Linked DNA regions of Drosophila melanogaster. The protein of the gene in region 1 purifies or fractionates together with the protein of each later gene. This does not show direct contact. Each region holds a gene or a part of one and is shown on either strand. Other genes may lie near its edges.

Region 1 (6,091 bases):
TGCTGGAAGCTCTTCATCGGAAACTTCCTCGGCATCATTTATTTCAGGCTTGCTGGGCAGAGGTAGCTCATCCTCGGAGACTATCTCTGTGTTGACAATGGTTGCATTGCTGGTGTCCGCATCGGCCAGATCCTCGGCAATGGCATGTTGTGAGCTGGAGTCCTCAGAGGAATTCATTTTCTCCATCTGCGGCTGCAGGGAGTCTACATTGTACTCAAAGTCCGCCTTCTTGACATTGTCACTCTCGTCATTTCCACCCACGGAGGGCAGGCTGTTGGCATTATCGCCGGCTAAAGAAGCCAGTAGGGTGTCCACGCCAGCCTGACCGCGTGTCTCTTTAATATCATCACTAGTCTCTGAATGCAGCTCCGCCACCGTGCCAAACGGGAAGGAAGAGCTCTTTTCATCAACCCCAGCAGCTTCGGCTGGCAGCATTTCCACGTCATCCTCTATCTGGTGCTGAGTCTCCTCGAATTGGGGCTCCAAAGCAGGTGCCTCCGCAGTGTTTGTCCCTCTAAAGGGCTCCTCCTCTTCCTGAACCATGACCACTTGCTCTTCGGCCTCCTCTTCGTGGTCACTTAGCTGAAAGGATTAAAAGTCGTTAATGAAGGTTCCCGGCATTTCTCAGAGCATTTGTGGATGCTGTGCCTTCAGTTGGCCCTTGCAGGTAATCACTCGCTCCTCCAGGGAGAAGAATCATGTGCGGATGGAACAACGCCACACCCACACTGGAAATTGCAATCGTTTACATCATTGGCTGATGATCTGGAAGAGGCGGTAACTACGTGGGATGAACTGACCTGTACGTTCCGCTTGGATGTGCGCCGGGTGCTTCTGGTTGGCAGCGATGCAGCCGGGGATGCGGCCTTCCGACCAGAACGTGTGCGGCGACCTGGAAAACGTCAATTAACTTTCTTGGTTAATCCATGCGGTTTACATAAACTGTACGCGCGGTGTTGTGGGTTGTTCGCTGCCTCGTGATGTTCACTTTTTTCCAAATGCTTTAATGGGCTGCTCCAGCTAACTGTCAGTGTCAGCTACCGAAATGGGCTAGTAAGGACTGAATTTTTAATCAACGGTCACTAGGTCCGGTCGAAGGAATGCACGTATTTGTAATTTTTCATCAATTTACCTGGACTTTCCATAACAACGTTTTCGCCCTCTGACGCCATATTAACATTGCAACGTGGTATCGATATACATGTCCCGCCAATATCGATATCTCTTTGTTTGGTCAAGACTGACGACTGACTCATAGCTATATTTTGAATATTTTTCAGAGGTTTTTCGAATTTCGATATTTATCATTTTTTAGCATTGATGAATGAATTATATACAATCTATCAAAAAATATAATTTAATAACGAAAATAGCCTAAGTGCTCAGTGTTTTTCCAGTTCGGCGAACTAGTTCATTTTTTGGCGTGCGCATGCAGAACCTATCTCAACATACAAATTCTAGCAGAAATTACATGTTCCAGCTAGAAATATAATTTAAATATTTTATGGTAAGAGGACTTTAAATATCACCATAAATAATTCTTAATGAAAGAAGATAAAATTTGTTTAATGTTACACATATTATAAATTAGTGGGTTATTAAGTTAACATAAAAAACATAAACAAATAACACAATCATTGGGCCTACTTCCTTTAATATTTAGGGTTTGAATGTTCAATGCATAGGATTTTAAAAGCCCAAAAAATTGTTATAGTTTCTATACAACATAATCGTGAATTATATCAAGTAAATACAAACATGTAAATGGAATTGGTAAGTAAAATGTTTCCTTGTCGGACAAGATTTCTTTTTGAGTCAAGAAATCTCTTTAAATGTTATTTAGAATGGTGAATCCAGTCGTGAATTAAATATAGCTAATAACCCGCCTGGCGAGCATCACTCTTAGCGGGACTGCCACTCGTGCGCGTCTTCTAACACTGTTCTCAAAATGGCGACTCGAGAATTGTAAGCGTGACAAAAACAACAAAGCCAAGGCGCATTTCACAATAATTAAATGTTTTTCGATCAATTGCGGCGCGTTTAATACAACGAAAGCGATCGCGATGAGTGAATTGGGGACCCAGTGACCGGGCAACGGCGACCAGTGAACGCAAAGCGTCAGCGGCGCGGCGAACAAAGACAAAATACGGCGAGCGAAAACGCCGACCGCATAACCTGTACGTGTAAGCAAGGCAAGGCGAATGGAAGGCGGCAAGGGCGAGGGCAAGAGAATGAAAGAGGAGGCGCCAAGCAAGAAGTTGCCGCCTAAAATCTACGGCGGCGATGCGGGCACCCCCACGAAGGCGGCCCACGACGAGATACTCAGCTCTCTGCTGCGGATCAACAACTTCGACTCGATATCGAGCATCAAGGACGAGTCGCTGGACATCGATCTGTCGGCGTGCGTGACCATCAGCTCCGCCAGCCTGGTCAATGGTAACAGTCTCTCCTCCACCGACTTTTGGCGCGTTTTGGACGAGAGTGCCCAGAACAACACCGAGCTGAATCTATCCTCGGACGTCTGCCGCGATGACTTGGCTGCCACCAGCTCGTCAACCGTGCCCAGCACTCTGACCAGTGATAACCACTCCAGCTCGGAGTTTAGTGTGACTTTCCTGCGGCCCGAGCCCCCGAATGCTTTCACTAATTCCCCGTTTAAGAAGACTTCGTCCAGCGGCACCTCCACACCCGTAAAGCTATCGCCCGAGCAGCTCCACCAGCAGCATCAGCTCCAAATGCCCCAGTCTCAGCTGCTGCAACGCAAGCCAAAGCTGCCGGCGGCGACGGCGGTGCGTCTGAAGGTCTTTAAGGAGGAGCCGCCCGAGGAGAAGCATCCGCCGGAGCAAGTGGTCACCAAGGTAGAGGTGTGCGAGTCTGAGCTGCTGCCGCCATCGTTTACCATATTCCAGCAGGCCAAATCGGCTGAATCGGTGGCGGATGCGGCTAGCATGCCGCCTCCGGCTGCTTCGGAAACGAAGCCGTTGGAGGTGGACCCGGCACCTCTACACAAGTGTCTCGACTGCAACGGACTGCTGCTGGAGACGCCCGATGAGGTGGCCAAGCATGAGGCGGCCGCTCACAGGCTGAGGCTCACCTATCGTTGCAGCGAGTGCCAGCGGGAATTCGAGTTGTTGGCTGGTTTGAAGAAGCACCTAAAGACGCACCGCACCGAGGGCCGCAAGGACACCTGGAAGAAGTGTCCTGACTGCGGCAAGTGGTAAGTGTTACTGCAAACTAAAAATAGTTATTCCTATTGACCATTTTACTCTAACTTTAGCCTCAAATTGGGAAGCATGTGGATGCATCGGAAGATTCACAGCGATAACAAGAAGTACCAGTGCGACATCTGCGGCCAAAAGTTTGTGCAAAAAATAAACCTCACGCACCACGCACGGATTCACTCATCGGAGAAGCCGTACGAGTGTCCCGAGTGTCAGAAGCGATTCCAGGAGCGCTCACATCTGCAGCGCCACCAGAAGTACCATGCGCAAACGCGTTCCTATCGTTGCGAAAAGTGCGGCAAGATGTACAAAACGGAGCGCTGTCTCAAGGTCCACAACTTGGTGCATCTTGAGCAGCGACCATTCGCGTGCACAGTGTGCGACAAGAGCTTCATCAGCAATTCGAAGCTTAAGCAGCACTCCAACATACACACAGGAATGCGCCCGTTCAAATGCAATTATTGTCCGCGAGACTTCACCAACTTCCCCAATTGGTTGAAGCACACGAGACGCCGACACAAGGTGGACCACAAAACGGGCGAACACCTCGAGAACATTCCCTCCTACTGCTCTAAAAAGTCCACTACAAACAAGGCCCAAAAGGCAGCCGCGGCAGCAGCAGCAGCGGCGGCAGCATCTTCAGCTGTGAATCCCAACGAACTCTCCGCTTCTAGTGAACTTAAAGCCAAGGCTAATCTTACGTCTACTGCTGCACCGGCTCCTGCAAAACAAGCGCGGAAAAAGAAGCAGCCGCAGCAGGCCACTCTTGCTGCATTGGGAATAACTCTACCTGCCGGTACTGCTCTGCAGCAAGTGCATCCTGTGCCGCTGGCGCAACAGCATCAGCAGGAACTTACCACTGTGCTGGTGCCGCTGGCCCCGCCGGCTCCTAAGCAGACCAAAGCCAAGCGAGAACGAAAGCAGCTAGCACCGAAGCAACTGCAGCAAAAACCGCAGCTGCTGCAACAGGGCCAACCCCAGCAGTCCAGCTTAGAGCCCATTCCTGCTGTGCCGCAAATCAAGAAGGAGCCAGTGCAGACTCAGGGTCCGTTCCTTGACTTACACGGTCTTAGTCTGACTTCAGCCGAAGAGCTGATCATGGAGCAGGCCCTGGAGATGGAGGAGTGCGGTCTGTACGATGCTCCTAATGCAAACACTGAAATGGGGACGTCGGACAACGCCATTTCCGATTCGGCCGCTGCCCTGCACTTCCAGATAAAGAATGAATTACCGGACGAGCTGTTGCCAGACGATGACTTCTGTAAGTTTCTAATGAAAATGTCCTGTTTTATGAATTGATTTACCTAGTTATTCGTATAAAATAGTATTCCTTTTAAAAACTTTATATTAATTTAAAATTTTATATTTGTAGTGCCTTGTAAGCCCAGCGACCGACTACCTTGCCCCTCACTGGAGTCCTCGCCGTTTTCGTCACCCGCCTCCATGGAGCTGACCGCTGTCTCATGCGCCTCCAGTGTCGCCATATCGACGAATGCTCTACCAGTGCGATCTGGGAACTACTATCTACCCGCCTTTACGCTGAATGCACACGGAAAGCTTAGTAGTACGGGCAATGGTGTTCAGTCTGTGACCACGAGCTTGGCCCAGACACCCTCTGTGTCCATGGTGAATGTGCCTCTTCTGGTGAGATCCAATCAGATGCTGCCCTCAGTTGACACGCTACTCTTCACCAACCAGACAGGCGGAAGTCGATTCTTTGCGGGGAAATCGGCGACTGCGGCCACGCCGCATCTGACATGATCGGGCGGCGGAATCTGCTGCCTGCCAACATCAACGCCTCAACGATCTCCTGTGTCTTAGTTAAGTTAGCAGTGTCGACCATGTTGCACCAGCGCAATTGGGCGGTCGCGGACCGATGGCAATCGATTAAAAGAATACGGAATTGTTTCCCGTAGGTAATTAAGAGTATGACGCTACATTTGTTTAAGTAATTGACGTAAGCTGATTTCTGCATAGCCCGTAAGTGTAATTGAGTGTACATATAAACGATTATATATAGATACATAATGATAGATCTTTAATTTGTACGCTTCACACCAATAATAAATTTCGTACATATTTTAGTAAACATCCCATCATTTCTTGCAAATTGGAACCGTTCCCTTCTTTGCAAAGGGCGTAATTTAAATAGGTCGCGCTGTAATTCGATGCAAATGGGCTTAGGTTTACCATCTATCTAAGAAGATCATTCACTGTCCAAGTAGAAGAGTTTTAAAAGTAGCTGGAGAAGATGTGGGATAAGCCAGGTATAAAAGACTTAAGTTATCTGTTCCGAAGAGATACTCACAAGGGCTGAATACCTACTCAATCGCAATCACGAATTGGTTTGGGTGGCTCAAAATGGTGAGCAAAGCCTGGATTGTAAGTATTGTTAAAACGAATATGAACTCCCCGTACCGAGCACTGTATGTTTTGATTGTAGTAATTAACCTCCACGTTTCTAATATATATACGTACTCAATCTGATCGTAGTTCTAATCTAAATGAATCCTATCAGGGCAACCCCAAAAGCTTTAATACTTGAAGCCACCTTGTTGTACGTTGTTTTATTTAATTTATTAACGTTACTTCCATCAGTTGTTGAAATGTGTATGAAACCATCAGCTACACGTTAGTTCCTAATCTTAAAAACATCTCCTATTACTTCGCAACAAATGCTGGTGGGTCTCTCAGTTCCCTTAGAGTCGAACGCTCGAAATTTAATGGTGGTCTTGTAGCGTCCTTCACGAAGTGGGACGGTAACTGAGGCGGACAAACTGAGGAAATAGGTATCCAGAATGAGCTTCGTCTGAAATGAAATGGTTTGAGATCAGCTGTATATGGCGATATAGCGAATCCTACCCCTGGAG
Region 2 (3,365 bases), on another chromosome or scaffold:
GCAATAACATTAGTAGTTTGCCACCCGAACTGGGATACCTCACTCAGCTGGAGACGTTCTGGTGCAATAATACTGGGCTCCTGGAGCTGCCCAACGAAATTCGTAACTGTGAACACCTCGAGACGCTGGGCGTACGGGGAAATCCCTTGAAGAAGTTGCCCGATGCCATAGGCGCTCTGTCCTCCCTGCGTTGGCTAACAGCCGAGGGCTGCGAACTCAGCGAAGTGCCACTGACCATGGCGTTGCTGGGAAATTTGGTGCATCTGAATCTTAAGGGGAATCGATTGCGACGGCTGCCCAGGATGCTGATGGCCATGCAGAAGCTGCGGTTTGCTTTTCTCAACGAAAATTGTATTGACGAGATGCCCACGCGGTCACAACTGGAGGAGTTGCGGACTCTTCACATGCTCAACCTGTCCAAGAATCCCATCAGCCTGCACCGCGATCTACAGCTAATGGCTTTGGTGAAGCTCCAAATTAACCTTTGTGTTTCTTTTTGTTGAATTTCTCTGAATTTTACAGCGCCAGACGAACCTTTATGTGGAGCTGCCGTCAGATCCCGCCAATATTTGCGATGGTCTCGCCAGTCGAGCTAGCCTCAACGCCCAGGAACAGCAGGAGGATCAGGCGCGAGGAGCAGGACAGGATCTAGACTCCTCCGACTGGGCGAACAGCGTGCGGACCAGCGAACTGGACACAACGGACGAGAGTGCGCTGGAGAACAACATCGAGGATCTGAGTGTCATGCTGCCGGAAATGTCGCGCTTTGTCACCACCTTTTGAATGCATTAATCTGTGTCAACGAGGTCTGATATTATGTAGCACACATAAATCTGTGGTTTATTCTCTACAACGGGGTGTTTTGTACATGTACCTCTAACAATCGTAGCGCTTCAAAAATGCACATTGGTTAAGCGGAAATGTGGGTTAATGGGTGCCAGGTTAACTAGACATCTTCTTCATCAGCTCCTCGTCCTGCATGGACATGGCCGTCAGCTTCTTGCCGATCTTCTCGTGAATGTCCAGATATTTGGCCACACAGCGATCGATGCACACCATCTCGCCTTTGCCTGTAGGGTGCGGAAAGCATTAAAATTACAAGTGTAGAATTGTGGTACAAGTTTCAAGATTTCTATTTAAATTTCATCAATCGAATCAAAGAGAAACCTGAAGTGATTGTCATAGAAAGAGCTGCGAACTAGATACAGCATTCTATATGGCTATGGTACTCACCCAACTCCGACTCGGAGTAGCGCGGCGGAATGCACTTTTTGTGGCAAGCGTTCGTCATGCGGTTATATAAATCGGACATCATTTCGATCTCCATTTCCTGCATCAGCTGCAGCTTGGCCTGGTCTGCGGTGCTGATCTGGGGCAATGCCATTGTGTGGGTGTGGGTGTGTTACTGATGGGTTTTAGGTACTGGATGCTGCCGCTTAGTAATCGAATCGCCTGTCCGATGCTGCGCTTGAGTCGTAATCCCCTTGGTTTGCCTTCCTCATGCGCTCACGCACTCGCATGCTCTCGTAACGCCGGTTCTCAACGGATCTCTTTGACAGCACAAATGCGTAGACGCCACCCACGGTCAAAACAGTCCTGTTTCGGGATTTTCAAACACCATGTAGTAAAGCTAAGTGTGTGTAACTAAAAACGATTTTTCTACAAACCAACAGACAGCGATTCGCCCTGCGTTGCCCAACGACATAGCCTGCTACGAAAAAACGACACACTAACGCGTTCCGTTGGAAGGTGTGCGGGATTTTTTATCACTGGCACGTGTGACAGCTGTCACATAGGGTTATTCCTTTCAATCGAAGTCACTGTATTGGGAAACTGTGATTTGAGTTGGTTCGGAATCAGAGTGAATCTGTATTGCTAGGTTGATTTGTTTTCTGGAACTGTACTTATTTATCACTTAATCAGCCAAATTACTTTATATGTTTGTCAATGGCTTTAATATAATTTAAAAATTGCAAATTTTAAATGCTACATGTTAATTATCAGTATCAGTGATAAATATGTTAGCAACATTGTGAGTATTTATTGCTTTAGCATATTTAAGATTTTGAATTTCATACTTGAAACCTTATTCATTTTTTTATCTTATAAGATTCTCAATATTTAAGTTCATATAAGATTTGAAAGTGACCTTTGTAACTCCGAATGTTTTTCAACTTGTGGTTCCCAACATTCTCTGGTCACACTGACTTGCTGTTTACACAATTATTTCGTAATTTTAAGTCATATTTTATCAATGAATTAAGATAAGGAGCGAGCAGAGCAACTCACAAATGACTTCGCAGATCTACAGCCAGAAGAAGTTCGTGCCCACGCCGCCCGAGAAGGGTTCCTTTCCCCTGGACCACGAAGGTCTCTGCAAGAAGCAATTCCTCCTCTACGCCAGTTGTCTGCGCAAGAACGCCCAGGATACGAGCCAGTGCCGCCAGGACGCCCAGAACTACCTGGCCTGTCGCATGGACAACAATCTTATGGAGAAAACCGAGTGGTCCAAGTTGGGCTTTCACGACCAGAGTACCAAGACCGATCAAAAAGAACCGGAGGTGCAGAAGCAATAGCCGGCATTGTGAGCCATGAAACCCGAACGTAATGTGATGATAGCGGCCACCGGAAGTGTGGCCACCATTAAGTTAGCCCAGTTAATCCGAGAGCTCTCCGACGAGCGCCTACCCTTTAAGTTCCACCTGAAAGTACTTATTACCGAAGCAGCCAAACACTTCTTTGAACTGGAGCAGATTCCCGAAAATGGTAGGTTGTCTAAATCTTCGGGTATTTGTTAACTTTAACTAACAAACTATTGCATATATTGTAGTACCCATTTACCACAATCGCGACGAGTGGATCACCTGGAACAAGCGAGGAGATCCTGTACTCCACATAGATCTAGGCAAGTGGGCGGATTTGTTGGTAATAGCCCCACTCAGCGCAAACTCTCTGTCCAAAATGGCCACCGTAAGTTTGGGTCGACATTTTACCCAGAACATTATTTCAGTATCTTTTTTATGACAGGGGATTTGCGATAATATCGTCATGTGTGTGGTGCGGGCCTGGGACCTTGAGAAGCCGCTGCTCTTTGCACCTGCGATGAATACCCGTATGTACGACCATCCAATAACTCGGGAGCAGATCGACAAGCTGACCAGTTGGGGCTACAAGGAGATACCCTGCATATCCAAGACTCTGATGTGCGGTGATACTGGCAACGGCGCCATGGCGGAGGTACCCACAATTGTGGAAGCGGTGTTATCCGCCTTTCAGCCGATTAAATAGTTATGCACACAAAGTTTATATCGCAGAATATTTTGTTACAATAGTTAGACAAATAATATGGAATTGGCTATGAAATC

What was found.
Region 2: the proteins of wdn (region 1) and Tim10 purify together in Drosophila melanogaster (affinity purification with mass spectrometry, with the first as the bait; one large-scale study listed by BioGRID). This does not show direct contact.

Annotation. Positions count from the first base shown.
Region 1 is NT_033777.3:28,807,196-28,813,286, reverse strand, and holds wdn (wings down), read left to right. Parts: upstream 1-1,949; 5' UTR 1,950-2,201; coding exon 2,202-3,217; intron 3,218-3,277; coding exon 3,278-4,482; intron 4,483-4,593; coding exon 4,594-4,982; 3' UTR 4,983-5,304; downstream 5,305-6,091. Other genes in the region: Prp39 (pre-mRNA processing factor 39), read right to left, coding at 1-582, 801-892, 1,133-1,172; CheB98a (chemosensory protein A 98a), read right to left, coding at 5,854-6,030, 6,084-6,091. UniProt on the Drosophila melanogaster protein: May belong to a complex set of multifingered proteins which play an important role in gene activation or regulation at early embryonic stages through a maximal accumulation of their transcripts (or protein product) in the mature oocyte.
Region 2 is NT_033778.4:21,689,405-21,692,769, forward strand, and holds Tim10 (translocase of inner membrane 10), read right to left. Parts: upstream 1,736-3,365; 5' UTR 1,706-1,735; coding exon of another isoform or gene 1,668-1,705; 5' UTR 1,597-1,667; coding exon of another isoform or gene 1,437-1,596; 5' UTR 1,385-1,436; coding exon 1,234-1,384; intron 1,071-1,233; coding exon 943-1,070; 3' UTR 811-942; downstream 1-810. Other genes in the region: CG10307 (uncharacterized protein), read left to right, coding at 1-464, 523-783; CG42497 (uncharacterized protein), read right to left, coding at 1,437-1,596, 1,668-1,705; CG42496 (uncharacterized protein), read left to right, coding at 2,292-2,576; Ppcdc (phosphopantothenoylcysteine decarboxylase), read left to right, coding at 2,592-2,766, 2,831-2,970, 3,028-3,288. UniProt on the Drosophila melanogaster protein: Mitochondrial intermembrane chaperone that participates in the import and insertion of multi-pass transmembrane proteins into the mitochondrial inner membrane.